4 linked regions of the Tamandua tetradactyla genome follow. The protein of the gene in region 3 interacts with the protein of the main gene of each other region in a pairwise test. Links are inferred from orthologs where the notes say so. Each region holds a gene or a part of one and is shown on either strand. Other genes may lie near its edges. The genes, in order: KAT7, NOD2, VIM and PNMA5.

What was found.
Region 1: the proteins of VIM (region 3) and KAT7 interact in binary tests that used the Homo sapiens proteins (3 or more experiments, as listed by UniProt). The link is inferred for Tamandua tetradactyla from reciprocal best matches to the Homo sapiens genes VIM and KAT7.
Region 2: the proteins of VIM (region 3) and NOD2 interact in binary tests that used the Homo sapiens proteins (3 or more experiments, as listed by UniProt). The link is inferred for Tamandua tetradactyla from reciprocal best matches to the Homo sapiens genes VIM and NOD2.
Region 4: the proteins of VIM (region 3) and PNMA5 interact in binary tests that used the Homo sapiens proteins (3 or more experiments, as listed by UniProt). The link is inferred for Tamandua tetradactyla from reciprocal best matches to the Homo sapiens genes VIM and PNMA5.

What each region holds. Positions count from the first base shown.
Region 1 is NC_135332.1:30,970,707-30,977,868, forward strand, and holds the start of KAT7 (histone acetyltransferase KAT7), read left to right. Parts: upstream 1-4,099; 5' UTR 4,100-4,212; coding exon 4,213-4,233; intron 4,234-5,630; coding exon 5,631-5,778; intron 5,779-7,162. UniProt on the Homo sapiens protein: Catalytic subunit of histone acetyltransferase HBO1 complexes, which specifically mediate acetylation of histone H3 at 'Lys-14' (H3K14ac), thereby regulating various processes, such as gene transcription, protein ubiquitination, immune regulation, stem cell pluripotent and self-renewal maintenance and embryonic development.
Region 2 is NC_135342.1:44,463,861-44,471,881, forward strand, and holds the start of NOD2 (nucleotide-binding oligomerization domain-containing protein 2), read left to right. Parts: upstream 1-4,959; 5' UTR 4,960-5,027; intron 5,028-8,021. UniProt on the Homo sapiens protein: Pattern recognition receptor (PRR) that detects bacterial peptidoglycan fragments and other danger signals and plays an important role in gastrointestinal immunity.
Region 3 is NC_135327.1:231,910,418-231,918,440, forward strand, and holds the start of VIM (vimentin), read left to right. Parts: upstream 1-4,969; 5' UTR 4,970-5,047; coding exon 5,048-5,607; intron 5,608-5,972; coding exon 5,973-6,033; intron 6,034-8,023. UniProt on the Homo sapiens protein: Vimentins are class-III intermediate filaments found in various non-epithelial cells, especially mesenchymal cells. Vimentin is attached to the nucleus, endoplasmic reticulum, and mitochondria, either laterally or terminally.
Region 4 is NC_135353.1:4,736,564-4,743,989, forward strand, and holds the start of PNMA5 (paraneoplastic antigen-like protein 5), read left to right. Parts: upstream 1-4,360; 5' UTR 4,361-4,473; intron 4,474-5,277; exon of another isoform or gene 5,278-5,300; intron 5,301-5,360; exon of another isoform or gene 5,361-5,389; intron 5,390-7,426.

The sequences.
Region 1 (7,162 bases), on a different chromosome or scaffold from region 3:
CTGTTTTATCTCTTCTGTGAATCTTTTCCTACACCTTCCAGATAAACCCATCCATTTCCTCTTCCGTGGCACTTTTGAACTTTGCTCATCCTTCTCTTTTCCCAGATAATATGCTGTAGTGTTTTGGAACTATGAGCTTATTGATCTGTCTGTCCCAGAAGGATTCTAAGTCCTTTTAGGGGAAAGATGGTATAATGCCTGGGTTATCACTCCGGGTCTGTTGAATTGAACTGAGGTTGAACAGACAAAAGCAAAGAACCACTGGGACCATGAAAAGATATATTTACAAACATTAAGACATTATAGCCATGAATTATACATATCAATAACAACAGTTATTCATTGAACAGTGCTGTGCTAAGTGCTTTGCAACAATCATCTCTTTTAAGCCTAATAACAGCCCCGTGAGGTGGGAATTAATATTCCTGTTCACAGATGTGAAAACTGAGATATGGATCAATTAAAAATCTTGTGCAAAGAGCATCCAGAGAGAAAGGAACAGACCTGAGATTTAAATCCAGATGTGACATGAAAGTCCTATACTGGACACTAGTAGATCTGATGAATAAGTAAGAGTTACTGTTCTTATCTGTTTGAGAAAGGCAGTGAGGAATAAACCATCTACCAAATTGTATAAGGAAAAGTATAAATATTGCAGTAACTGCAAAATTGCATAGCACCATGACTTACTACCTTAAAAAGAATAAATCAGGAAAAACTTTTTATACATTTATTGTCCCCCCGAGGGGCGTGCACTGTTCCTGGAAATACTGCAATACCAGGTCGATGCATGGAGTGGACGGAGCAAGCTCCTATTCCATCTCCTAATTCCAAAAATCCATTTAATATATTGTCCTCGGATAGAGGACATATCAGATATAAAACTGATAAGAACAGATACTACACTTGATCTTAGCCAAAAGGCCGAGAAGCGATAGGAAAACTTTTTGAAGAAAGTAAATTTTAAGGTGTGTTGGGAGATGCATGTAGGTAGGAAGAAAAGCCTGTGTGAAAGGGTAAAGGCAGGAAGGACAGTGGAGAGTATCTATGTAAAGTCTGGTGGCTGAAGATGGGCAGGGAGCAAATGGTCTAAGGCCTTGAAACCAAGTAAGAGCTTATTATGTCCTTACTTTACTCAAAGTAAAAATACTTGGTCTAAAACAAAAAGAAAGAAAAATGTAAGATTCCCGCTCCTTCTCTTTAAATACACCTAGTTGGTATAATCTCATGTTAAGTACACATTCTTTCCCCCTTAGGAATGTTATTTCTATCCTATTGGTGTTAAGTTTTTCATCTTTCTGCCAGAATGTACACTTTCCAAGTACAAGAACCATGTTTAAACTGTGAACTCTTAAGTGTTGGCCGCATGCAGAGAATGCAGTTTAAGAGCTTTACTAACATTTAACAGTTGTCATATTGGTATTTGTATTAGGAATGGTTTAAGTCAGGATAAGATCTTTTTCTCCAATACCAGTTTCCAGGGAGGGTGACTTAAATCCTGCACATTCAGAGACTGGAGAATAGAGATGATACTTTGATTAGCTTGTATTTAGTGTGGGTAGAACACGGTCTAGGCATTATTAGAGGGGATGTCACAAAAGAATTGAGATATGCTTTTAACACAAGAGGTCATTACTACTAGGTGGGGAGCCAGAAGCCTCAAAAGTGAACTCAGCACAGAACATTAAGTGCAAAATAACAGCGTAACAGTGTGATAGCCAAGGCTTGATTGCTGAGAGGATACAAAGCAAGAAGAAATATGAGCCGTTTTCAAATAAGTTCTTCTATGCAGTTCAACCTAAGTAGGCTATTCAAAAGTACTTCTACTAATTATTAAAAGCTAAATATCAAATTACTAAATACTGAAAGTTGCCTTTGTCAACACTGGTCCAGGATATCTCCACAGAGAGTGCTGGCATAGGGTCGGGCATCTTAACTCTTCAGAATCCTCTGTTCAGCCACCAATCAGATGTTTGCCTTCTGCTGCTTTGTTCTTGAACTCTGCTCCTTGGGGGAAATCTTCATTTTAGTAGGCTCAGGTTGGAACCCGGGTCCAGGATCCTAACTTAAGCCTGTCTGGATTCCACCCAGCTGCTGTTAACAAAGTCTTGGTCTTCTCAAGGCTTTTTTTCCAGCGAGGTTACATCTTTGACCAACTTCTTCCTAGGCTCTCAAAGGAGGCCCTAATCATCATCATCACCATCGTTATTTAAATATCTATACCTTTTTAAACTCTAGCTCAAAAACATCCCTTCCTCTTCTCCCCTGACCCCAACTCCCGGCTCACGCTATCTGGATTTTCAGAATTCACTCGGGATAAATAGGTTCAATGGTTCTCCGACTCTAGCATGGCACCCCCACGTTTTCGCTACATTTTTCATCCCTGGCCACTCAGTACTCTGAAATCCATACAAAATGGGGGAAGGAGGGAGAAGTTCACCACAGGGCTAAAATGGAAATTCTTAGGAGCTACTGCTTCTGGAGAATAATTGCCTCCTCCCACCACCCGAACGACCAATTTACGTACTGTTCGCCAAGGGCAAGGGGAGTATCTCCTCTACCAAAAAGAAAACTTTCTGATGATAGAAGCTACCCTTTCGTTCATTTTATAAGCCGCCATTCCCTCCCCTATCGAGCCACAGGCTGGTTCTTAAAAGTTTCCTGTGCAAAATACCCCTTCTCAATTTTGAGTTTACATGCTAAACGGAAATATCTTTAGCCAATTAGGCAACGAAGGAGTTAAACTTCAACAACTTCATGGATTTTGGGGGTTTCCTTCTTCGTCGCCAGTAATTTAAAACGACCTGGAAGGGAAACTTTGCCCAAGATAAAGATGAAAACCTTTAACTTCAACTATCAAGTTTTTGCCGCAAACAAGAATAGCTAACCACGCCCACAAAGGCCGCCATTCACCTAAATAGCCCTGGTTTCTGCTACCAGTGTCTTTTCCTGCCCAATTCCAAAATGGCGCTCACTAGCCTCACCAAAGAGGGCGAACGCCACGCCCGCTTCCCAGCACCATCTCTGGCCTGAGCGCAAAGTGACGCGACCACAGCCGGAAGTGAAGGAAAAAGCGCCTCAGCCCGCGGCGCCTGCGCAGAAGACTCTCGACGCTGTGAGGCAGGAGGCACTTGGGATCGTCCGCAGGATTGGGACTGCTACAGAGGCCGCCACGGAGCCCGCCGGAGCCACCGTTCCTACTGCTGCTGCCGCCGCTGCCCGGATCGGAACCGTCGGGCCGCAGCCGCCGGCGATGCCGCGAAGAAAGGTGAGAAAAACGAGAGGGGAGGGATGGCGGGTTTCTGAGGACAGTCGATTGAGCAACGTGATGCAGCTAGCCACGCTTCACAGTGGTTGGGGACCAACTTCCTGCTCCCCCAACTTAGCTCAGCAACCCTCTCTTCCGTCTGTACTCGATAGAAGAATGTGGGCCCGACCCTGGCCTGGGCCTATGCTTGCTACTATTCCCGCCCTCTGCTTGGCTGGATCGGAGGCGTTCTGATCGCTAATTGGTTGTTGAAACATCGAGACGTATATTGATTGGCTGGTGATACCGCCCATTTGGATCCAACGGTCACCTCCCCGCGTGCGGGGGCGGTGTCTGGGCCCGGCCTTACCGCGCTCTAACTGGCTGTAGAGAACTATCCCTCTTCTCTTGATTGGCTGTACTTGGCAGTCTGTCCCGTGGGGGCGCAGTTTAGCAGGACCTCTATTGGGCGGCACGGGACCCCTCCCTTCTGGGTGGGGATGCTGATAGGTGTAGAGGCGGGGTTTTTAAGGCTTCCTTTCTTTCCGGGGTGGGGGGGGCGAGCGGGGGCGGTGACAACAAAGCAGAGGACTCGGTGCTGTGGAACCAGTGTCCGCTCTCAAGGGATCCATTCAGGCCTATTGAGTCTAAGTCTTAATTTTTCTTTATGTCTTTAGCTCAGCAGCGCCTAGAAAATGCAGTTTGTAAAAGCAGAAACTTTCTAGAATTAGAAGAGAGTTAAAGGATTACCTAGGAACCACCCCGTCTCTCTTTTTACAACTGAGCAAACGGAGGCCTAGTAGTAGTGTGCCCAAAACCACTCTTAAGTGAGTGCAATGGCAGAGCCAGGACTAAACAACAAATCTAATTTGGTTGAAGAAAGGTTTGACTGCTTGTTATTGGCTGGCTTGCTGGGGATTGGAAAACTACTTAGACAATCCCTAGTTTAAGGGACTCGCAGTCTCATGAGGAAAACATACAGAACGGTAAGACAGTCTATGCATTCTCTAAGTGGAGAAATATGTAATACAAGGGCAGTGGGAAGCAGTTAAATCTGCTCTGGAGTAAATGGGGAGTATATTGGTGAAAGCCTGGGTAAAGCTGGGAAGGAATGTTCAGAGGTGATCAGGGGTTGAAATATCTGGATAATTGAACTAGATGATCTTTAGGACTCTCCCTCCATCCATTCTGTGACTCTGTTCTGTGGCCTCCATTTCTGCACAGACTTTCAAATTAAAAATATGTATTATATTTAAGGTCTCCTAAGATGACCTAGAGTTGGTAGGTGGTATTTATCTTAAGGCTCACCAAATGCAGGAATAGTGTTGGTGCATTGGAATAGGTCCACCATCCCCCTTCTGCAATTCCCAAATACAAATATCTTTGGAAAATTTAAGTTTTATAGCAATTTATTTGGTGTCAAAATCTGTCTTAAACTGTCCAGCAGCTATTTATGTTTTTTATATATCGCATTTAGTGTTACTGTTTTCACATTTTGCTGCAGAAATATTAATATGCTTGATTATAGGCTTTATTTGTATGTGAAGTAGTCTCTTTCCAATAATCTAAGAAATAATGAATAGCAAACTCAGCTGGACCCAAGCATTTTGAATAAAGGATTAGGGATTTGTAGTTCAAAGCTCTGTATTTTAGTAAATATTCTCCTTTCTCTGATTAAAGGATATAGTGTTAGTGCTCAGTTGATAAAAATTATCTTTATGGCTATTCACTCCTGAGGAAGCTAATGATTGACGAATAATTTTTAGGAAAACATTATTTTAAAAATCTGTTTTTTAATATCCCCAACTTTTCACATGCAAGCTGCCTTTTCCAGTCCTTTTAGAGAAACCTTTACGGGGAGAGGACATAAGAAAGAGTTTCTTTCTTTTTCTCTTTCTCTGGAAGTTCTCTTGGTAACATAGTTGAGGACCATGATATTTTGAATTAGCACATGGTTTCTTAACATATGATAGCTGTTTGTGGAGATTTAGAACAAAGGTAACCTGAAGTCGAATGGATCTTAGCCAAACATTTTTCTTACTGATTTGGACTTTCCATGTGCATTGATACATCAGCCAGACCATTTTTGAGTTGGATACTTTTGTTATGCTTATCTCCAAATGGATTAGTTTCAGAATTAGTGATAATACAGTAAGAGTTAATTTTTTGTTTATTTAACAAAAGTACCTTATTTGTAGGTTACCTGTTTAAATGTTCTTAATAAAGGCTAGTTGACTCTAGGCTGGCGGAGGAATTGTATCTGGAATCCTTTCTGAGGTAGAGCTTGGTGTTTTCGGCATCATGGTTTGTTTTATTTCCACTGTTAACACGATCCTATAGTTTAAATACTTCTGTGCTAATGTCTGGATCTATGGTGTTACAGAGGAATGCAGGCAGTAGTTCAGATGGAACCGAAGATTCCGATTTTTCTACAGATCTCGAGCACACAGACAGTTCAGAGAGTGATGGCACCTCTCGGCGATCTGCCAGAGTCACCCGCTCCTCAGCCAGGCTGAGCCAGAGTTCTCAAGGTAAAAGGCTTTGTTCTCTCTGACCACTCACAGCTGACCATTGGTCAGTCTGTTATTGTGGTAGTTAATTTGGAAACTGGTCCCTTATCTTGGTATAGATGTCAGAAACTGGTGAAATGCAGAATGAATAACTGTATATGTATCAGGTCTTTAAAAATGGTTCTGTTGGGGGTGCCATCCAATTTGTAGACCCAAAGGAACTATGACATAACGTGACATGTTAGAGTGTGCCATGATGTATGTCATAAGTCATTTAATTTTTTTAGACTACAGTTTTCCCTTCAGTAAAATGGGAATATTACCGCTTCATTTTCTATCACAACAGTTTAGGTTTAGGGACTTAACATAGTATCTTTAATCTATAGTTGAAGGAGCCTAGTACTTCTGAAACCATATTTAGTTGTGAAATATAGTCAGATACACACTTAATAAATACAAATGTACCCAAACATCATTGTGTAAATACCCAGAATTTGGGGGGAATAGTAAAAAATCTAGACTCTCAGAGTTGGAAGGAAGTTTAGGTTCTTTAGTGCCATTAGCCATCTGTACTTGGATTTGGAAGGCACCCTTGACTTCTGCTTCTACTCTAGAATTCCCTGGGGAGGAAAGAAGGTTGAAATGTGCAAAGCTGATGATCGGTAGGAGATACAAGATTAAGAAAAGAAAAATTATAATATGCTTTGAGTGCTGATTTGATCATTGCTAAATGCATGTTGCAAAACAGAGAAAAACTTCAATTTTTCAAGCAAGAAAGAGGGAATATTTTCTCAACAGCTGTCTTTAATTTTTTATTTTTAAATTTAAGAGTTTAAAGAATAGCTGTCTTTGATTTTGCAACTTTTAAGTTTTTTTCTACAATGGCAGTATTGATAAATGCCTAGTATAATTCAAATACTATGCTATGTAGTAGGATGCAGTGATGGAAAAATTATGTTCTTGCCCTCAAGGTAGGGCAGCCAACTAAGAACAGGTCTCCCAGAATGAGATCTTAAAGGATCAAGTAGGAAATGATGGGCTTGGTGTTCTAGGCAAAGGGAACAGCATTTTGCAAAGGAAGAGGCATAGGATTCTTAGAAGATGTCAGTGGTCATGCCCTGGACATCTGAAAGTTGTAAATACTTGAAACAGCTAGAAAATGTATGAGGTCTGGGTCTCTTTCTAGTTACTGTACTTCATTACTAGGGAATTGCTTGACTCCTAGGGGTTGCATTTGCAGTGTAATTTTTGTAAGGTGGCCTTCTCTAAGGCAAAACATAGACTACATTGAGAATGGAGCCCCTTGGAGGTGTACAAACTGACAAACTTTCTGAGTGCTAGCTTTATTCATCTCAAAGTTTGAGAGTTCCGGTTCTCTTCTTTGGAGAATCTGTAAGATTTATGT
Region 2 (8,021 bases), on a different chromosome or scaffold from region 3:
GACAGTCCAAGCTCCTGGGGGCAGCCCTTGCACACAGGCAGCCGGCATACCTATTCTTCCACCAGCCTCCCCATCCAGTAGAATTTTAAATGTCACAACCCAGAAGGTGACTCCCAGTGAGGAAGGGCTCAGGCCTGGGGCTCCTGGAGACTGTCCCCTTGCTTTCTGAGCACTACCTGGTAGGTGACCAGGTCAGGGCACTCAAGTACAGAAACACCACCAGAGCATCCCTACTGCCTGCCTTTGGCATGGGACCCTGCAGGCAGGGAGGTGGTAATAAAGGCTTCTTAACCCACTGAAAAGAAAGCTTTAAAAAATTATTATACAAGCAATATGGGCTTATTAGGAAATATAAGCTAACAAAAGAGAATTTAAACAATCTACTTACAATCCAACCATAAATTTTGAAGGATAGTCTTTTGACTTTTTAAATGCATGTATTCATAGATTTTATTACAGAAATAAGAGCATGCTGCATGAAACATTTTTGCAACTCACTTTTTTTGTATTGACATATAATTCATATGCTGTAAAATTCATCCTTCTAAAGTGTATAATTCAGTGGCTTTTAGTATATTCACAAGGCTGTGTAACCATCACTATTATCTGACTCCAGAACATTTCATCACCCCAAAAAGAAACCCTGCATCCATTAGCAATCACTCCCCATCTCCTCTCCCTCCAGCTTTAGCAACCACTAATCTATTTTCTGTCTCTGTGGACTTGTTTATTCTGGACATTTCATAGTTATGGACTGTGCAGGTTTGAGAGGATGTATGCCCCCTCGAAAAGCCATGTTGTAATCTAAATCCCATTTCCTAAAGGCAGAATAATCCCTATTCAGTACTGTATGTTTGAAACTGTAATCAGAGCATCTCCCTGGAGATGTGATTTAATCAAGAGTGGTTGTTAAACTGGATTAGGTGACGACATGTCTCCACCCATTTGGGTGGGTCTTCATTAGTTTCTGGAGTCCTATAAAAGAGGAAACATTTTGGAGAATGAAAGAGATTTGGAGAGAGCAGAGAATGCTGCAGCACCACGAAGCAGAGAATCCATGAGCCAGCGACCTTTGGAGATGAAAAAGGAAAACACTTCCTGGGGAGCTTCATGAAACTGGAAGCCAGGAGAGAAAGCTAGCAGATGATGCCGTGTTTGCCATGTGCCCTTCCAGCTGAGAGAGAAAGAACCCTGACTGTGTTTGCCATGTGCCTTCTCACTTGGGAGAGAAACCCTGAACTTCATCCCTGGATGCATGCCTTTGATTGGACATTTCTATAGACTTGTTTTAATTGGGACATTTTCTTGCCCTTAGAACTTTACACTAGCCACTTATTAAATTCCCCTTTTAAAAGCCATTCCATTTCTGGTATTTTGCATTCCGGCAGCTAGCAAACTAGAACCTGGACCATACAACATGTGGCCTTTTGTGTCTGGTTTCTTTCACTTAGTGTAATGTCTTCAAGGTTCATCCCTGTTGTCACATATATCCAAACTTCATTCCTTTTTAGGCTGACTAATATTCCATTGCACGGATATATAACATCTTGTTTATCCATTCACCCGCTGATGGACATTTGCTTCCAGTTTTAGGCTACCATAAATAATGCTACTGTGAACATTCATGTACAAGTTTTTATGTGAACCTATGTTTTCAGTTCTCTTGAGTATATACTTAGGATTGAGCTGCCTGGTCATTGGTAAGTATATGTTTAACTTTTTGAGGATTTATCAAACTGTTTTTCCAAAGTGGCCGCACCATTTTACATCCCCAGCAGCAGTGTATGAGGGTTTCCATTTTTCCACATTCTTCCCCACATTTGTTATTCTCTGTTTTTTAGTATAGCCATCCTACTGGATATGGAATGGTATCTCACGTGGTTTTGATTTGCATTTCCCTATTGACTAATGACATTGAACGTCTTTTCATGTTCATTTGTATATATATATATATATATTTGATAAACACCTATTCAAATCCTTTGCCCATTAAAAAAAATTGGGTTACTTATCAAAATTGCTAAGTTGTAAGAGTTCTTTATTCTAGTCACTAGATCCTTGACTATACGACTTTGCAAATATTTTCTATCATTCTGTGGGTATCTTTTGACTTTCTTGATAATGTCTTTGAAAGATAAAGTTTTTAATTCTGATGAAGTCCAATTTATTATTTTTTCTTTGATTGTGTATGCTTTAGGTGTCACAGCTGAGAAACCATTGCCCCATCGAAGGTCATGAAGTTTTACTCCTATTTTTTCTTCTATGAATTTTCCAGTTTTAGCTCTTTTATTTAAGTCCTCAACCAGTTTTCAGTTAATTTTTGTATTTGGTGTGAGGTAGGGGCCCAACTTCATTCTTTTTTATGTGGCTATCTAGCATCATTTGTTGAAAAGATACAATCTTTCCCCATTGAATATCTTGGCACCCTTTTCAAATAGCAACCCATTTAGAAAACTGATATTATATTATGGCATCTTTCCATGCTAATGAACATATATCTATAAGCATCTTTTAAAAATAAAGCTTTATTGGGGGTGCAAGGGTAATTTAGTGGTAGAATTCTCACCTGCCATGCAGGAGATCTGGGTTTGATTCCCGGGTCATGCACTTTCCCCAAACGAACAACCAAAAACAAGCCAACAACAAACAAACAAAAAAATTCAACAAATGGTGCTGTAGTAACAGGATACTCACATGGAAAAATAATGAAATGTGACCCTGCCATACAACATACCAAAAAAATAACAATAATAAAGGCTTATTGAAATATAAGTAATACAAAGAAAAGTGCAAACACTGTAAGTGTTTAGCCATGAATTTTCAGAAAGTATTCACACCTGTGTAACTGCCACTCAGACCAAAATACAGAACATTATTTGCATCCTGGAAGCTCCCCATGCCCCTTCTCAGTCATTACCTCCACCCCATGGTAACTGTTATCCTGGCCCCTACCACTTAGTTTTGCCTGCTTCTGAACTTTATACAATTGATAACAGATGGTAAGTATGCCTTTGCATATGACTTCTTCTACTCAACATTTTGCCCATGAGATTCATTGGTGTTTTTGTGGGTTGCAGTAGTTCATTTGTTATTACAATTACTGCATTGTTTTTAGGACATTCATTCAAATATTTATAGCTTACCAGGTCCTGTTCTAGACCCTGGAATAAGGAAACGAATGACGCAGAAAGGTTCCTGTTTCAAGTCCCAGCGGGGAGAGATTGACAAAGAAAATAAGTAGGACATATAGTGTGTTATATGGAGATAAGTGCTATGGAGAAAATTACAAAATGCAGGGAAAGGGATGTGGGGGGCAGGTCGCAATTTTGTAGGGGAGAGCCAGAGAAGGCGTCCCTGTGAAAGTCATATTTAAGCAAAGACCTGAAAGAGGTGGAGGAGGCAGCCACATGGATTTTAGAGGAAGAGCATTCCAGGCAGAGGAAACAGCAAATGCAAAGGCCTGGAGGTGGCCGCAGGGTTGGCACATCCCAGGAATGTCCGGGAGGCCCACGTGGCTGGAGCAGAGTGAGCGAGGACAGGAGGATTTGGAGAGGTCACAGGGTGACAAATACTGACAGTAGGACTTGGCTTTGACTATGAATATGAATGAAATGGAACCATTGGAGGGGTTTGAGCAGAGGAGGGACCTAATTAGCCTTTTTTTTTTTTAATGGACTCTGGCTGCTGTGTTGAAGAAAAACTATGGTTGAAACCATAGAGAACTGCTAGGAGTGCTTGCTATAATCTGGAGGAGAGATGATGGTAATTTAGACCCAGGTGGTCATGGTGGACATGGTAAGAAGCGGCTGCATTCTGGATCCATTTTGAAGGTCAAGCTGAATAATTTTTTCCTAGGATGTGGGGTAGCAGAGAACACATGGCGATTGAGTTCTCCAGGTTCAGAGGCTCCGTCGTGTCCTTTAAGCCATCTCATAGGATTGGACATTGAGGTTTCCAGCCTTTCACTGTTAAGGGCATCCTTGTGGGTAGATTTGTCCCCCATCTGGAATGATTTCCTTGATGAAAATCAAGGAAAGAATGAGTCTTTCGATTCAGCATTTCCCAGCCTCAGCCCACCGTGCCCCACTTGTGCAGGTATTTACCCGGAAGCAATGCAGGGCAGTGTTTTAGAATACACTCTTTGGTCTAGACACCTTGGGGGCAGGACGTGGCTCTGCCGTCACAACTTTGAAATCTGGGATAGGAGAATGACTCTGTGTTTCAATTTCCTCATCTGAAAATCTGGGATTTTAATAGTTCACTCTGTGAATCTATGTAAAGCCTGGCACACAGGAAGTGCTATATACATGTTATTTTCATTATTTTTCTTGAAATTGACTTCACATTTTTTAAAAAGCCAGATAGAAGTGTATAAAAGGAACATTGATATTCCTTACTTGACAAAGTAGTGTCACTTGCTCTGTAGAATAGGAAATCAAAAAATAAATAGACTGAAAACAAGACAGTGCTGTTAGCTTCTGGTTTCATATTGCTGCAGCGACAAGGAGACGAGGCTGTGTTCTAGAAGAGCTCAGCCCTACTAAACTAAACTGAGACCTCTCTCGCCAACTTACAAGGTGGAGAGAAAAATGGAAGGTGTGTAAACCATCACGTACCTACAGCATTGTTCTGGGAACTTCGCAATTTTAAGACTTTCAAAAACTGGATTGACTAGTTCCCCCAAGGATGCACAGGTTAGTATAACACCAAAGGATGTCACCGCACGTGCGTGTGTCTGTGTTTTGGAGGGTGTGTGTGTCCCGAGAGACTTGTCTCCGGACTCCCTCCCAGCCACTCTCAGGTCTCAGGTGAGTTCCTGGCCCCCCGGGACGCGGGCGCTCTGGGGCGGGGAGCGGGTGTGGCCCGCCTGGCAGCGGCGCGGCGGGCGGGGTGCCCGGCAGTGGGACGGGCCCGGGGCGGGGACACGGCGGGGCGGAGCCGAAGACCCGCGCGGCGGGAGCCGGAGCCAGAGGCGGGAGACGCTTCCCGAGCCCGGGCTGAGGATTCGGGACGCCGGCGGCTCCGCGGTGAGTGCTCGCTCCGGGCGCGAAGTCTGCTCCGGGCGCGAAGTCTGCGCCCAGCGCCCAGGCGGCGGGGAGACAGTGGGCGCCGAGTGTCCTGCCCCCTGGCAGTCGGACGCCTGGCTTCAGAGCCGTTATAGTCGCTGGATTTGGGGAGGGTGCGCCTCGGTTTGCCTTTGAGGACTCCCGGGGTATACATGGGGGACAGAGAAAAGAGAATGTCTCAAGGTTGGGAAGCCACCTGGTGGGTTGTGGATACAGATGATGAGGAGACTTGGGGGCATGGGTGGGACTCACCACCTCCCAGGTTCCCTGATGTCTGGAGAGGGTGCTTGACTTGGGGGTCACCAGAGTAGTGGGGACAGAACCTCTGAGTTGTGAAGTCTTGAGGCTCTGGGCTGGGAGTGAGGAGACCAGACACCCAGCGTCTCAGTGGGATCACCCTTTGTAGTTACCCTTCTTCACTCTGGGCCTTAGTTTCCCCATCTTCCCATACCTGTGAATGGTTGGGTGTATGTGGGAGAGTCTGCTTGGATAATCTCTAGCCCCACCTCTGGCCCTATAAATATTATGGGGGCTCCTTCTTCTTAGTTTTCCCAGTTCACCCCCTATCCCCACTCCATCTGCTGCCCAGCACCGCATCCTCTGAGTCATTCGCTCTCCCCACTGCAGCCCTCTTGTCCTTCTTACTTGCCAACAAACTCAGAAAACTCCCCAGGTCCCCTCGGGCGGCATCTTCTGCAGCTGGCTGAGGGCTGGTAGCTAGACCCCTGGCTCTGAGGCTGCCCTGGGCCTCTTTCCTCTGTTTGGGGCCCTTTGGCTTCTTCCTGCCCTTTGCCTCAGTTTCCCCAGGGGCTGGCTCCTTGAAGAGTCCTTATTCCATAGAAGGGAAAAAGCCTGCCCTGCCGCCCCTCCCCGGCGCTTGGTGAAGACCAGAGTGGCCTTCCATGGCCTCTGCTCCGCTGCCTGAATCGGTCTGCTGGGGACCCCAGCGGCCCCTGAGTTTGCTGGTTACTCAAGGCCCCCTTTTCCTCTCTACATGTTGGAATTTGAAGGTGGAAGGAATCTCCTCTAGCCCACCTCCCTCCCACCCAGGGCTGAATGCCTGCAGAGTGCTGGCCCAACCTCTGTTGCGTCTGCCTGGTGACAGGGACCTCATTGCTTATGAGTCCTGCAGTTCTCACTACACTCAGCTAAAGCCCAGGGCTTGCAGATCCCCCTTCTTGGCTCCACTTCTGCCTGCTGGAGCCATACAGAGGAAATTTATTCCTTTATTTGAAAAATCCTGATTGATGCATTGTATGAGACATGGGGATAGAGTAATGAAGAAAATAGACGAAACTGTCTGCCTTCATAGGGTTCACATTCTCGAAAGCAGTCAAAAGCAATCAAATAGGTGAATGCATAGTATGTCAGGTGGTGAGAAGTATGCCATGGAGAAGAAAGCAGGGAAGGATGATGGGGTGGGGTATTGCAGTTTTATGTAGCCTAGTCAGGGACTGTCCCTCTGAGATGGTGACAACTGAGCAAAGCCTTGATGGAGGTGAGGGGTGAGCCATGTCAATGTCTGGGGGAGGGAGAGTGTGCCAATAGAGGGAGGAGCATGTGCAAAGGTCCTGAGGCAGAAGCCGGTGTGTCCAGAGCTGGGTGGATGAGGAACAGGTGGGGGGTTAGTAGGAAACGAGTTCAGAAAAGTAAGGGTTGGTGTGTGTGTGTGTGTGTGTGTGTGTGTGTGTGTGTGTGTGTGTGTCCATAGTGTATGGCCCTAAAGGTCACGGGGAAGATTTTTGTTTTCACTTGATTGCAATGGGTGTCACTGGAGGAGACACTTGCTCCGATCTGGGGTTTCACAAGCTCATCTGGCTGGGGGATGGAGGATAGACTGTAGAGGGGTGAGGGCAGAAGTAGTGGACCAAAGAGGTCTACTGCCATTATTCAGGGGAGAAACCATGGGGCCTGGAAAGAGGTGGCGAGCAATGATCAGATTTTCTGATTTGGGATGTACTTAGAAGGTAGGTTCGATAGGATTTGGGATGCACAAGGAGGGGTGGGAGTCAGGCTTTTGGCCTGAGCGCCTGGACATTTGGAGGTATGGTCAGCTGAGATAGGGATGCCTGTGCCAGGAGCTGTTTAGGGAGAAGAAAGGAGTTTGGTCTGGTACTTGCTAAGTTTGGGTTGCCTATTGGACATCCATGTAAAGAGGTCCAGTAAGCAGCTGGGAAAAGTTGAGGCATGTGGGGGGAGCAAGAAATGAAATTTGGGGTGCCAACACACAGTGTTAGTAGGTAAGCCATAAGAGCAGGGGAGCCCACTTAGAGAGCGAGGGATGGGAGAAGAGGGGTCTATTCAGGGACCCCTGGACTAGCACTAGGACTGAGAAAGAGCAGAGGGCAGTGTCCTGGGCTCTAAGGAGGAACGTTCTTCAAGGAGGAGAGGACAGTAATTATGACAAATGCCTTCAGCAGAATGAGCAAGATGAGGGCTGTGAATCGAGCAAGGTGGCGTGGCTGATGACTTTGACAAAAGCAGTCTCGATGGAGTGGTGGGGCGAAAACCTGATGGAGGGGAGGGGAGATGAGGACTGGGATGCAGTGGTAGAGGCAGAGGACAGGAGGCCTGCTGTTAGAAGAACAGAGAAATAGGGTTGTAGCAGAAAGGGGAACGGGAGAGGCTTTACATTTTGAGAGGGGAGAAATGACAGTGTGTCTGTGTGCTAATGTGGAATGACAGCCTGGGAAGGGGGGGACCAGAATGGGGGATGGCTGGGAGTGGGGCGAGAAGATTGGCACCAGCTTCCCAGGAGCTAAGAGCAAGGGCAGCTTCCCTGGTCCTCCCTTCCTCTCCTGCTGCAAGACCAGGAGACTGGGGTGTCAGTATGTAAGCAGAGCGTGGGCCCCAGAGAAAGCCTGGCCCTGCTGTGGTCTCTGGAAGGAAGGAAGTATCAGAGCTCAGAACTGGGCCAGGGGACAAGCTTGACCCTGTGTTTTGGCAAAGAAGTAT
Region 3 (8,023 bases):
GCCCACGGGGAGGAGAGCCATGGGGAGGAGAGTCCACGGGGAGGAGAGTCCACAGGGAGGAGAGCCACGGGGAGGAGAGCCATGGGGAGGAGAGTCCATGGGGAGAAGTGCCTGTAGGACTTGATCTGGGCATGGTGGGGTGGAGGCATGAAGCGGTGGGTTGGGGGGTGAGCGGCAGAGCCCCATGGGGGCTGCACGATGGAGAACCCAGAAGCAGCGATGGCATTTCCAGCGAGGTTGGCTGGCTGCCCTGCCCTGGTAGCGGGGAAGCAGGCATGGTGGTGGGGTTCAGGCGGGCAATGGGCTCGGTTCTCTTTTGGCTATTGTTCTAGTTTGCTAGCTGCCGGAATGCAACACACCAGAGACAGACTGGCTTTTAATAAAAGGGATTTATTTTGTTAGTTCTTCAGAGGAAAGGCAGCTAACTTTCAACTGCTGTTCTTTCTTACGTGGGAAGGCACAGGGCGATCTCTGCTGGCCTTCTCTCCCGGCCTCTGGGTTCCAACAACTTTCCCGGGGTGATTCCTTTCTGCATCTCCAAAGGCCTGAGCTGAGCTCTGAGTGCTGAGATGAGGTATGCTGAGCTGCTTGGGTTGTGCTGCGTTGCGTCTCCCATTTAAGCACCAGCCAATTAAGTCAAACATCATTCATTGCAGCAGGCACGCCTCCTAGCCGACTGCAGATATAATCAGGAACAGGTGAGGTTCACATACAACTGGCTCATGTCCACAGCAACAGAACTAGGTGCCTTCATCTGGCCAAGTTGACACCTGACTCTAACTATCACAGTTATGATGCCCTGGAAGGAGGGGAAGGAACATAGGGGAAAACGTGCAACTCCCAGGTGAGAGAAGGATTCTGAGCTCCTGTTCCTCACCGAATGAAGGGGAGCCCTAGAGTCAGGGGCTCGCCAAGCTCTTCCAGGAACCTGCATCTCCACAGGTGCTAAAGGCCCTTTCCTCTGCAGCTCCTGGAGCCTGATTAATATCTGTGAGCTACACTGGCTGACAGCGGACAAGGTTCAGTCACGGACCAGGAGAATAGGCACGCACATTCGGGGACACAAAGGCCCCCCTTCGCCACCCCTACCCCAGCGACCCCACCTGAAAGACGGTGTCAGCTCCACCTCACAGGTGCTGCAAGGGCCCCCTCTTACCTTCAACATAAGCAAAGCCCCCCGACACCCAGGTTATTGTACTGCCGCCCCCAACACCCAGGTTATTGTACCACCCCCCCCAACACCCAGGTTATTGTACCGCCCCCTCCCCCCGGCGCCCTGCCTCCTCAGCTGTGCAAGCCTGCCTGCCCCCTTCCCCTCCTGCCTGCCCCCTTCCCCTCTTGCCCGTCCTGACACCCCACCCCCACTGCTGTCCTGGGTCCTACCAGCTTCTCCAAGCCCGGGGCGCAGCTCCCATCTGCCACCGGCTGGTAAGTCGGTGCAAATAACTGAACTCGGCAGACAGGGCCACAGCCTGCAAATCCCAAATCCTGCGCGGCACCTGGGGTCAGCAGGGTGGCCTGGCCTGCACCCCTGGGGCCTGGCTAGGGCACTGCCCACACTGCAGATGCAGATGGCAAAGAGCTCAGCGTTTACAGAGCACCTGAGGTGGGTTTTCACAGAGTCAAAAAATAAACACAACTGAGAACACTGTGTCTGCGCTGCCAGCTTCCAAGAGGCCCTGAAGACGCAGGGAGGAGGCAGCGAGGGCGCCAGCTCCGGCCACCGCCCCTCCCTGACGCCTGTCTCCCAGCCTCAGTAACACCCAGCTGGCACTGGGCTCACCTCAGAGGGAACGCCATTCTTTCCAAAGTCTCAGGCATTGCACACATCTGCACACATATGTGAATACACACAAATGTGCACGTACATATATACATATATACATACATATAAACAAACACACTTATTTATATGCACATATTTGGATACACAGAGGCAACATGCCTACATACATATGGACACATTCACACATATACACACATACAAATACACAAAACATGCATGTATGCATATACATAATTATACATACATGTATACATATACATGTAAACACATACATTATAAGTGTACATATGCATAAACACAGATATACACACATTTACACAAACGGACACATATATGCATACACACAAACAGCATATACATTATACACATGTATATATGTATACATACACATATTGTCATGCACACTTACATACACATGCACGCATACACATATGTATCTATACACCTAGACGTACAAACACCCATGTACATACAAACAATACAAAAATGCATAATATACACACAAACATATACATTTAAGCATGCATACATATATTTATACACACACGAACACACAACACATTATACAAACATGCACACATATACATACATACATATACACAGAAACACATGAATATACATAGATACACATGCTATGCACAAATACACACATGCACACCTAAAATCACACATATACACACATGCATATATAAACACACTGTACACACACGTCATATACACTCATATAGAGACAGTTACACAGGTGTGTTTATATACATGTATGCATGCACATGCATATACAATATATGCACATATAGACACACCCCCCCACACACACACAGGTGTGTATACATGAGGCGAGTGAGCTCGTCAGTCCTGGCAAGAGTAGACTACCCCAGGCCTGAGGATACAGCAAGAGGGCACGTTTGCAGGAGAAGGGAGACATCCTGACGCCGAGGGGGGCAGAGTCCCACCGGGAGGAAGACACGCTGCCCCACCCCCGCAGGCCCAGACCCCCCTTCCGAGTGAGGCCCTGGACTGCTCTCTGTAGAGCCCACAAGCCGAGGCATCGCTCAGGCCGAGGCTTCCAGGGACTCACAATGGGGACCTTTGCTGAGCTGGGCCTGAACAGAGGCTCTTAGAGAGCAAGGCGAGGGCGGAGCCCAGGAATGTCCCCCACGGATCCCAGCCCCTGCAGCAGCGGCCTTGCCCACTGCCCCCGGGATGGGGAGTCCGGCCAGGGCAGGGAAACACTTCCAAAAGGAGGCTGTCCCTAGGCCAAATAAACCCTGCATTCGGCCCTAAGCCGCCTCCCTAAATGCCAGGTGCCGGCCAGGACCCAAGAGCGAGGGCTGGATGCTGCCCCTGCCCAGGCGGGTCTGAAGTCAGCCCTCTGGACTCCCCCAGAAAGCACGTCTCCAGGGCCCCATCACGGGAAGGCCGCTCCCTGCTGGGTCCCTTCCTGTGTGGCCTGGTCTCGCTGTAGCTGACAGGGAGACAGCAGCCCCTGGAGGTGAGTGGAGCACCCAGAAAGGGGGCAGTGGTGGCCCTGTGTACGCCTGCCGCCCCCACTCCTCTCGGCCAGGCCCCGCGGAGCTGGGGCACGTCCAGCAAAGTCCCAGGAGCCAGCGTGCGCGCTCGGTCCTGACATGAACACACCAGCCTGCTCCCCAGCCTTCCGTCAGCGGCCTTTGGCCAGGCTCATTCATCAGACTGGGGATTCCAAGCGACACCCAGTAATTCCCGCTTTGGCTCGGATTGTGCCTTTAAGGCCTTCGGTGGAGGCAGCAGCGCCAGGGGCCCTCTGCGAGATTGTGAAACCGCGGGCGGGGTTTCCTCTTTTACCCAGAACTTTCAGATCTTTCTAAAAGCCGGGCGTGGCGCCCTGGGGGAGTGGGGACGGCGCGGGCGGCCGGAGGGGGCTGGGCCTGCACGGGGCGGACCGAGTCGCGCGCGCCGAAGGGCCTTTCCGGTGAGAAGCGCGCGCGGCCGGGTCCGCTCAGGCCCTGGCGAGTTCTTAAGAACTTCGGGGCGCCCCTGTGCCCCGCAACAGCGCGGCGGCGGCCTTCTAAGTTGGCGAAGACCTAGGACAAAGCGCGAGTCCGCCTCGTCTAACGGTCTCCCGCGAACCGCTAGGCGCCCTCCCCCCGGGGACCGCAGGCGCCCTGAGTCACCCACCGCCGTGACTCAGCCACCGCGCCCCGTCCCCCGGCTTTCCTTGGCCGCCGGACCCAGCCCTCGGGTCCCGGACGGGACCCCCGAGACAGGAGGTCGAACGGGGCAGGCCCGCGCGCTCCCAGCCCAGTGGGTCAGGCGCGGGGGCGGGGGAGGGGAGCGAGACCAAGGTCCCGGTCCCGCCGCGCGCCCACCCTGCGCTCCAATCTCGGCGTTCTTTGTGTCACCCTTGCACCTCCCTCAGGCGGGGCCCTCACGCCCCACCCCGGTCACCGAGTTCCTAGCGCCCCCCGCGGCCCCTCCCGACCCTGGGCGCGGCTCCCGGCCCTTCTCCTCCAGCCACGGAGGGTTCCTCCCCCGCTCCTACCCCGCGCCCCCTCCCCATCCCTGGGCGCCGCACCCCAAATCCCTTTCCTCCAGCCCTGGGCGGATCCCCACCCTTCGCTCTCCACCAATCCAAGACTGTGGAGCGCGGTTCGAGGCCTCTCTTCTCTAGCGGAGGCGGGTCCCCGCTCCGCGCCCCCCACCCTCCTGAATGGGCGCGGCGCCGAGCCCCTCTCCTCCAGCTACGAGAAGACCCCTCCCCCGCGCCCCTCACCCCCGACCCTGGGCGCCGCGCCCCCAACCCCTCTCCTCCCGTCCCGGCGGCCCTTTCCCCGCGCCCCCCTGAGCACGGCGCGGGCCCCCTCTCCTCCAGCTCTCGGCGGGTACCTCCCGCTCAGCCCCGCTTGCTACCCGCACGCCCCTCCCCCGGCCCTGGGCGCCTCACGGGGCCCCTCTCCCCCACTCCGGGCGGGTCCCCCTCGCCCAGTGCCCCGCCTTTACCAGCCCCGGGGCTGAGCAGAGCCAGCCCAGGAAGCCCCGACAGTGCCTGCCCCGCCCCAGAAGTAACGGGACTGCCGGGCCGGACGGAAGGGGGGGACCCCGCGGGCGCCCCCCTCCTCTCCTTCGGAAGGTCCCATTGGCTGGCGCTTGCGCCGCGGCCGCCGAGAGGAGGGGGCCCTGCCTCCCTGCGCGGATAAAAGCCGCGCCCGGACTCCGGGCGTCCTCTGCCGTTCCCGCTCCGGTCCTGCGCTCGCGCCCCGCCGTCCGCCACCCGCCGCAGCCATGTCCACCCGCTCCGTGTCCTCCTCGTCCTACCGCAGGATGTTTGGCGGCCCCGGCACCGCGAGCCGCCCCAGCTCGAGCCGCAGCTACGTGACCACGTCCACGCGCACCTACAGCCTGGGCAGCGCCCTGCGCCCCAGCACCAGCCGCAGCCTCTACGGCGCGTCCCCCGGCGCCTACACAACGCGCACCTCCGCCGTGCGCGTGCGGAGCGCCGGGTCGGGCCCGCGGCTCCTGCACGACGCCGTGGACTTCTCGCTGGCCGACGCCATCAACACCGAGTTCAGGAACACGCGCACCAACGAGAAGGTGGAGCTGCAGGAGCTCAACGACCGCTTCGCCAACTACATCGACAAGGTGCGCTTCCTGGAGCAGCAGAACAAGATCCTGCTGGCCGAGCTCGAGCAGCTCAAAGGCCAGGGCAAGTCGCGCCTGGGCGACCTCTACGAGGAGGAGATGCGCGAGCTGCGCCGCCAGCTGGACCAGGTCACCAACGACAAGGCGCGCGTCGAGGTGGAGCGCGACAACCTGGCTGAGGACATCCAGCGACTGCGGGAGAAGTGAGGAGGGAGCCGCGGGGCCGGGGGGGGTGGGCGGGGCCGCCAGAGGGACCTGGTCGCGCGCTGGCCCCGGGGGCGGAGGGGCGGGCCCCGCCCTACCTCGGGACCTGGCGGGGAGCATTTCCCCTCGGCCCACGCAGTGCCCAAATGGCAGGTTTCTAAGCCTGCCGCCCGGGCTGCGCTGAGAGGCCCTGGGAAAGAGCAGAGGGATACGCCCGCGCTTGGGGGAAGGCTCCCGGCCCCGGGCGGACTGCCAGCTGCGCCCCGGCAGACCGAGGGGGCGGCAGCCGCGACGTGGGAGCTGGGTGTGGCCGTGCGGCCCCGCGCGCTCCGCGTCGCCTTGGGGTAACGGGCGCCTCTTTCAGGTTGCAGGACGAGATGATTCAGAGGGAGGAAGCCGAGAGCACCCTGCAGTCGTTCCGACAGGTGTGTGACCTACCCGCGCGCGCGCGTGCGTTGCCCCGGCCCCACCCAAGCGGCCCGCGGGCTGGCCTCGAGGTCGGCGAGCCTCGGTCCCAGGGGTGCGGAGCCTCCGGCCCAGCGCAGAGACCGCGTCTCGGGCCCAAACCCCGCGGCGACTTTCCTGGGGACGGTGGGAAAAAGGCTTTGGCTTTTTTAAACTTTGTTTCAAGGTTTTTTTTCCCAAAAAATAAGCCCGTTTCACTTTTGTAACACATTGGCATTCCGCCTTTGAACAGTTACAGTTTGACTTAGCTTGCGGTTTGCTACGGTGGAGTTGGCTAACTCATACAAGGTCACAAAAAGCAGTGAGGCTCAGAGTAGTTTAAATTGTAAAATGAGTTGCAGGATAAGAAACTTAGGCTAGTTGGAATCAAGCCAGCCAGTTTCTTTTCTTTTCTGCAAGTTCCACTGTGGCATTAAAGTTAGAAGTCCAGCCCTGCCCAGGACTTTGTGATCTAATAAGGGGGAAAGGGGCCATCTGGCCCCTTGCTGGAAGGGAATTAATGGTTTCTATGGGATTCACTATGGAATGCAGATACAGACGTTCTGGCAAATGTGGTGGCGCTGGGCAGACATAATGGCAGTCTTTGTGCTCCCCGCAGGGCTGTGCAGCAGGCGGCATTCTTATTCAGTCTGTCATGATGTAAGCAGAGCTCTCATTGGACACAAGTATTTGCTAACATCTTCACATCCGTTATCTAATATCTGGCCCAGGCTTGGGAAGTACGTGATGGGAACAGCTCTTAAAGCCACAGGGCACCTTGGACTGGCCTCTCAACTGCCCTCGTGGGTAAAGAAGATGCGAGGGCCAAAGAGCTGAACTTTAAGTAGAGGTTTTTGGGTTTTTTTCCTACAAATCTTAGCTCACTCAAAGGATTTTAAACTTACAATAGAAAGCAGGAAGGTTTCGCAGTGTAGATTTCTTCTCTCGCGCACTTACTGTACTGGCTGTAAAAGCACTTAGGTGTACAGTTGAGGATAACATCTTGAAGCTGAAAGACATTTGCCACATTAATTTAAATGCAGCAATGTGTGGTTCGCTTGAGTCACTAAGTATTTAAGATTATGTAATGTAGCGTGCAGGGCACTGAGTTAATAGAAAGCAGCTTTCATGTAAAAGGGCCTCTGTTTAGGGATGAGGCAAAGTTCCTTGCATTCTCTTCAAGGAAGCAGCTAACATGTTGAGCATTTTGAGAGGTTAGTAAAATGATTTTAAATCTTTTTAAGGGCTTAGTAGCAAGCAAAATGAATTTTTTTTCCAAATCTGATGTTTTTATTATTACCCATTCTTCACTTACTTTCCTGTGAGAGGGATGCAGATGAGATGGGGTCAGACTGCACGACAGATGTAAATTGCTCACAAGATAAGAGGTTTAGAAATCCTGGGACACTCACTTCAGAGGAAGTACAGTCTTAATTGAATGGGCTCTGATGTGGAATGTAGCAGCTTACAGAGGGTGGCAACACAGGAGGATAGTGAGGTGAGCAAGAGTCCTTGCAGGGCCTCGTGGTGGCGGGGATTGTAACGGGTCACTATGATAAAGGCAAGTGACAGAACTGACCGAGTCAGGGAGGGGGCCACACCCACCAGCCGGGTCACAAGGCTAGTCTCCCCAGGAAGGCACAGCACACATGGTCACCTTTGTTTCGGTATTTGCTGGAGCCGCATCTTTGCACACCCTAGATGTATCTAGTTGCTGCTTGATTGAAACCTGGCTGGTGATGTGGCTGCCAGGTGGTGATACCTACGGATAATTTCCGGACAATCTGAGAAGAGTAAAAGACAGCTTGGTATGCATCGACACTTTGGGAGCATGAGTTTCTGTTTTACATGCACTCATGTATAAATGAAGTTTTGCAACCCAGTTGGGCCTGTCCTGCCTGTATTCCCTTACGCTACGGGACACACATGCACACACTTTTAAAACACTGTGGCATTAACTTTTTATATTTA
Region 4 (7,426 bases), on a different chromosome or scaffold from region 3:
CCTCCCCCAATCCCCCCGCCCCCCCCCTCCATTCTAGGCATCCTCCTGCCTCAGGGCATTGCATTGTTCTCCCCTCTGCCTGAAGATGCCCACCGGGCTGGCTCCCTGAGGCCCCCTGGACCACTCTGTGCAGAATTGCACCCACTCCTCAGCTCTCCTTAGACCCCTTTTAGCTTCCTCTGTTCACATGGCCATCTTGTTCATGGTTTGTCTTTCCCTACTCAAATGCAACCTCTGCATGGGATTTTTTTTTTTTATTAATTAAAAAAAGAATTAACAAAACAATTAGAAATCATTCCAATCTACATGTACAATCAGTAATTCTTCTGCATGGGATTTTTGTTATTTGGCTCACGCCTCTTTCCCACGTCAGTACCTGGCATTATGCCCGGCATCAAGCAGGCACTTGATAAATGCTGCTGACAAAAATAAGTGAGATCATTTATGACCATGACGGGCTGGAGCTGTGCCGTTTTGCCCTGGCTGCCATGTGCCCCACGAGGCAGTTGAAACGTAAGCATAAATGAGTTAGAATCCAATTTAACAATTCAGTGCCTCATTGCACTCCCCACGTTTCAAGCGCTTGGTGGCCACGTGAGGCTGGCAGCTACCCTATGGGACAGTTCATCTGCATCCTTGCAGAAAGCTCTGTCAGGCAGCACAGAGCGAGAGAGCAGCTGCATTGGTGACTTTAGATGAGAGGGGGAGGAATCTCAGGTGAGGAAATTTGTCCTGAAGGCAGAATGATGAGAAGCAGCCACTGGTACAGGGACCTGGAGGGAAGAGGTTTCCAGGCAGAGGGACCAGTCGGTGCCATGCCTAGTGGGGCTGAGTCCTGGGGGCCACCAAGCAGAGGAGCAGCTGGAAACCCCAAAGAGAGGAAGGACCAGTGAAGGAGGAGGGGAGCCGCAAGAATCTGGCATCCCAGGAGCCGTGGGAAGAATGCGCATGAGGAAGGAAGGAAGGAAAGGCCCTTGGCTGGTAGAGTTCACTGGTCTTCCCCCACCGAAGGGCAGCGGGTGTGATGGAGCAGCCTTTGAAGACTCAGTTGGGATGCTAAAGGGATGGCCAGCCTTTGGGGCAGGGTGGAGTACTGCCCACTGGTTTTGGCAGATGCCAGAATGGCTGGGTCCAGAAACTGAGGGGCAGAAGTGGGAGTGGCTCCGTTCAGTATTGTGTTCCTGGTCCACTAACAAAATATTTGTTTCCCATCCCTGCAATTTGGGGCTCTGCTGGTCCGGCAGACTTAGTTTCCAAGGGAGGAATGCTTCCACCAGGGGACCCTGCGCCGGTCCCACTGAATGGGAAGTTAAGGCAGCCACAGCCAGCTGGGTGAGGACAGGGGTCCTTGGAAGGTTCGCAGAAGGAGGAAATTCTAAAGATTGGCTACACCTCAGGGCCAGCTGCAGAAATAAGAGCTAGAGAAGCTCTGTGCATTTTGTCACGCTTTTGAGTATCTTAACTCCTTTGTTCCTTCTTACTTTCCTTTTCTAATCCCGTGGTTAATTTATCTTGGTGGTAATTGACCTCACAATTGGGCCAGAGAATGAGAATTTGCCTAATGGGACCTCGGACTCCCCCTTTTCTGGAGAGAGGGTGAGGGTGTGTTCACCTACCTGAGGGCTGGTCACGCCCCGCCGAGCGGAGGCATAATGTCACCGTGGTCATCACCTGGGAGATGAATGTGGGTGGGAGAATGTGACGGATGCTGAGCGGGAAGGGAGGGCTGGCTGGCTTGGCTTTCTCAGCTCTGCTCGTCCCTGCCCTTTTGTGTAAAGCAGAGGCCTGGGAACCTCAGGTCCCAGGTTCCTTCACCACACTGGCTCTGCGTTCCCTTCCCCAGGGAGAGGCATTCATGCCACATTGGGACAGCAGCGAAGCCCTCATTTTCTGGTAGCACGCTAGTATGGGGCATCCAAAGAAATCACACGCAGACTTTTCCAGCAGCTTCCCGGCAACCTCCTGGCAATCAGCCCTGACAGTCCTGCAGGTAGCTGGGACCATTGCATCTTGGGGCCTGGGAACCACTTATTTACTTTCGGATTTCCCCAAAGCCTGCAACAGCCTCCCTGCCCCTCAGTCCCCCCGGCCTGGTAGGGATTGTGGAAGTCACTGATTATCTGAGCCCTTCCTGCTCGAAAGTGGCCCTACCTCCCTGGCACCTGCCTCTAAGTCTGTCAGTGCTGCTTCACCCAGCTCGTCCATGCTGTCCAGCACACATCTGCTAGGGAAGGAGTCCCCTGCTGAGTGCTCTGTCTGTGAACACCTCCTGCCTGCACCCTGCACACCTCCTGGCTTTGGACTCCCTCTGCGAAGGCCTTCTGTGGACCCCTTCTTCATGCCACACTTTTCCCAGGGCGGCTGGTGCTATTTCCACCCCTGGGGAGACCTTCAGCTCCCACATGTGCCTGGGAATGCATACATCTCTGCTCTAAAGCTTCCTCCGGCTACTGGAGCTCACTCCCTGTGAGAGCCTGGACACCAGGCCTTTCCTGAGAATACTCTTTGTACATTTATGTTTTAATAGCTTTACTGGGGTTATAATTGGCACACAATAAACCACGTCTCAAGTGCACGCTTGGATGAGTTTTGGCATCCGTGAAACCATCACTGCAATTAAGAGTGAGCACATCTGTCACCCCCCAAACTTTCTGGGTACCCCTTTGTGATACCCCTGCCTTCCCGTCCCTGTCCCTATCTCTGCATTCTCCGATCTGGTTTCTTGTCACTGCAGATCAGTTTGCATTTTCAAGAGTTCTACACAAGTGGAATCACACGGTATGCATCCATTTGGGGTAATGGAGACATTTCTTGGTCTTGACTGGGGTGGTGCCCAGACTCTAAACTTAAAATGGATGTGTTTTACTGCCTATTAATTATCCTTGATAAATTGCTTTTTAAAAGGAAGGAAGAGTTATGAAGTTAACACCCCAGCCATTGTGAGGGGAAGTACAGGTCTGGCAGGCAGAACTAGCAGTGTCCACGAGGCCAGTGGGAGTCAGGACACTGGACAGTGATCTGAGAATCCGCCCACCGCCCCGGGTAAAACAACCCCCCCCCCCGAATAAAACATCCCAACGGGAGTGTAACACCCCAGCAGCACCAGTTAGCCTTGTTTGCTCCTCCAGCCAAGGAGACTGATTGAACAAATCTGCCTATTCTTAGGAGGTAAGGCACACTGAGGGAGTCTTCTGCAGTTAAAGGGGAATATGCTGTGCACTGCAAACATCTCACTCAGTGACTTTTTATTGAAATTTGCTTTGTTTTTAGGATTTTTTTTTTTATAGAACAATCATGAAACCGTCTGGGGGTGTTTTTTTTTCTTTTGTGTGTGTGTACCTTTAGCAAATAAGGGTAAAGAAATCTACTATGTCACCAAAGGGTCACATCATCTGGCCCTGAAAAGTAAAAACAGGCTTTTAGAGCCTCACGACCCAAGGCATGGTCAGGCACCTGCAGCATCGGAGTCAAGGAACTTTCCAGAACACCCCTCCCCCACCACGCCTCTGCCTCAGAGCAAACCTCTTCAGTCTGGAGAAAACGTTCCTTTAAGAAAGGGCGAGAATTCATTTGGGTCTAGCTGGGTAATACTTGGTCCTGAAAGCGAGAGAAAAACGAGGATTAGGAGTCTTTTGATAGTTTTCTATTTCGGGGTGGGGCGGATCCCCGTTTCTCGCCATGCCTCACCTCCCCCCCAAAGCACGCCCACCCCACCCCGCCTAAAGGCAAAAAAGGCGCCAAGCCTTGCTTTCCCTCTGCGCCCGGCCGCAATATGGAAATGAGGAGGGCGTGGGTGGCTGTCGCGCCACAGTGTCCGGCCAATGGGGAGCGGCACCTGCCCTCGGGTCCCGCAATGGCTGCTGGGGCTCGCGGGACACGTGGCTTGGCGGGCTCCTAGGGGCCGACCGCATGGGGTGGGGTAGGGGGGTGGGGTGGGGTGGGGTAGGGGGGTGGGGTGGGGCGGGGTGGGGGTAGGGGGGTGGGGTAGCGGGGTGGGGGTAGGGGGGTGGGGTAGCGGGGTGGGGGTAGGGGGGTGGGGTAGCGGGGTGGGGGTAGGGGGGTGGGGGTGGGGTGGGGTAGGGGGGTGGGGTGGGGTGGGGGTGGGGTGGGGTAGGGGGGTGGGGGTGGGGTGGGGATGGACTGGCGGGGGACAGGCCGGCCGGCACTGTGAGCTGCTGGCGGGGGGGGGTGGGGGGTGGGGGCACCACGTGGCCCAGGCTGGCTTCTGGGTGGGCTGCCGTGCGGGGTGGGGGGGTAGAGGGGTGACAGGGCGGGACTTCGGTTCCCCCACCCCCACCTCGAGGCGTGCAGGCTTCAGGGCGCAGCCGCGAGCGGGCCGTGTGCAGCTCCGCGGGGGGCCATCACGCGGCTCCCCTTAACACTCCACCCACTGGCGGCCCACACTGCACTGCGGCGGCGGACGAGAGGTGGCGGCGGCCCGCGGGGGCTCCGCTCCTCAGGCGTCTCCGACGGGTAAGGTGCGGGTCCCCCGGTGTCCTGGCGGCCCTGTGGTCGCAAGGGAAACCCTATTCCCCGTCCCATATTCGCCTTCCGTCCCCACCGGGCATCCCCGGGGCGGGTGACCGCAGGGTCCCCAGGCAGCGGGTTCCCGCTAAGATGGGCCCGCACCCTGACAGCGCGCAGCATGCGCGGGCCTCGGCCGCCCTGGGTGTTCCTGGACCTCGGGCCACCCCGAACCTGCCCCGAGCCCCCTCGCGGGCAGGCCAGGGCGCCCGGGTCTCTCTCCGCCCGGTGTCCGCCAACCTGCACGTGGGGAGACGGTCCTCGGGGGACGGGGTTGCTGGGCCCCAGGGTGGGCGTGAAGGGGGTGGGGGTGGGGGAGCGAGTGTGGGAGAGAACCTGGGGTGGGAGGTGGTGGACGCTGTGGCAGGGGCCTGAGTGAGGGGCTGCACGCATGGGGGGAGGTCGCGGGGGTGCAGGGGTGGGCTCCTGGGCGCGAGAGCGTGAGAGTGGGGCTACATGGCAAGGGCGAGACCGTGAAGAGGGAGGGTGCGCGTGGAGTCGACATCGTGGAGGCGGTGGGGTGGGCCCCGCGCGACAGAGGGCGAGAAGGATGGGGGCAAGACCGTGAGGCGGCGACTCAGTGCGTGGGGTAGGCGGGGGCGAGAGGGGGCGGGGGCGAGAGGGGGGCGGTGCGCTGGCAGCGGGGCGTGCGGAGGCGGGAGGGGGCGTGCGGATGTGGGGGCAGGACGCGGCGGAGGCGGGCCGACAGTGAGCTGGGCGGGGTTACGTCGAGGGGAGATCGCAAAGGTTACAGGGTGCGGGGGCGAGAGCGCGAGGTGTGGGGGCGAGTACACGGGCGTAAGACCGTGAGGTGGGAGGGTGCGCGGGTGGGGGCAGATGGCGGCGGTTGGGGGATGGCACGAGGGTGAGAGTGTAATGGGGGAGGGTGCGCGGGTGGGGGCAGATGGCGGCGGTTGGTGGATGGCACGAGGGTGAGAGTGTAATGGGGGAGGGTGCGCGGGTGGCGGCAGGTGGCGGTGTTTGGGAGATGGGCGCGGGGGTGAGAGCGTGAGCTGGGTGGGGCACGTGGAGGCGGGATCGCGGAAGTGAGGATGCGGGCGCCTGGGTGAGTGAGGTGAGGGGCTGAGTGGTCAGCGACAAGAGTGTGAGGTGGGAGGGTGTGCGGGTGGGGGCATCATGGAGGTGGAGGATGGGTGCCCGGGTGAGAGCGTGAGCTGGGTGAAGTACATTGAGGAAAGATTGCGGGGGTGAGAGTGCAAGGTATGGGGGCGAGTATATGTGTGTAAGAACGTGAGGTGAGAGGGTTTGCGGGTGGCGGCAGATGGCGGCTGGCGGTTGGGGGAATGGGCGCGGGGGCGAGCGTGGTGGGGGAGGGTGCGCGGGTGGCGGCACATGGCGGCGATTGGGGGATGGGTGCGTGGGTGGCGGCAGATGGCGGCGGTTGGGGGGTGGGTGCGGGGGCGAGAGTATGAGCTGTGCAGGGCACGTCTAGGCAGAATCGCGGAGGTAAGGGTGTGGGCGCGGGGGTGAGAGTGCAAGGTGAGGGGCCGAGTGCACAGGGGAAGCCCATGAGGTGGGAGGGTGCACATGTGGGTGCATCAAGGAAGCGGACGGTGGGTGCAAGGGTGAGAGCTTGCGCTGGGTGAGGTACATGATGAAAGATTGTGGAGGTGAGGGAGTGTGCACGTGGGTGAGAGTGCAAGGTGTGGGGGCGAGTACACGGGCGTAAGACCGTGATGGGGGAGGCTGCGCGGGTGGCGGCACATGGCGGTGGTTGGGGGATGGGTGTGGGGGTGAGCGCGCGATGGGGGAGGGTGCACGGGTGGCGGCAGATGGCGGCGGTTGGGGGATGGGCGTGGGGGCGAGAGTATAAGCTGTGCAGGGCACATCGATGAAAGATTGCGGAGGTGAGGGAGTGTGCACATGGGTGAGAGTGCAAAGTGTAGGGGCGAGTACATGGGTGTAAGACCGTGATGGGGGAGGCTGCGCGGGTGGCGGCAGATAGCGGCGGTTGGGGGGGTGGGAGCGTGAGCTGGGCGGGGGGCATCGAGGAGGATCGCGGGGGTGAAAGTGTAAGGGGTGGGGGTTAGTGCATGGGGCAAGACGGAGACGCGGCAGATCGGGCGGTTGGGGGATGGGCACGGAGATGAGAGAATGCGCTGGGCGGGAGCATCAAAGCAGGATCGCGGAGGTGAGGGAGTGGGTGCAGGGGGTGAGAACGGAGGTGAGGGGGCGAGTGCACAGGGTTAAGACCCTGAGGTGGGAGGGTGTGGAGGTAGGGAGATGGGTATAGGGGAGACAGAGTGAGGTGGGACTGGGCAGTTCCTGGGGAGATCAGGAAGGTTAAAGGGTGAATGTGGGGGTGAGAGCAGGAGGTCATGGGGCGAACCAGGAGGCATGGGGAACGCGCGTGGGGGTAGATTGTGCAGGTGGGGGATGGGCGCAGGGGCGACAGCGTCAGCTGGGGTGGGGGTGGGGGTGGGGTGTCAAGTTGAGATCCCCGAGGTTTGAGAGTAGGTGTGGGGATGAGAGGGTGAACGCACCAGGGCAAGATCATTAGGTGGGAGGGTTCGGAGTGTAGGCAGATAGCTAGGGGAGGGAGTAGGCAGAGGGGTGAGACTGTGAGGTGGGAAGGGGGCACTTGGGGGTGAGATGGGGGAGGTGAGCAGGTGGGCGAGCAGGAGCATGAGGGGCATTTGCGCATGGAATCAGAGTGTTGGGAGTATGAGCAATTGTGGTCCGAGGTGTATGAGGGGTGGGTGCCGGGGTGAGGGTAGAGGGCATGGTGGATGTGGCCATAGCCTCACTTAGGAGCCTGTTGGTGCCAGCAGCAGCGCCCAATTGAGGAGTTTCTTGTACCCTGGGTCTTGTATCCAGGGTCTTGGTGGATGTCTTGGCACACGGGGATCAGCACGGTGGCATCTGGGCAGAGGCAGAGTAA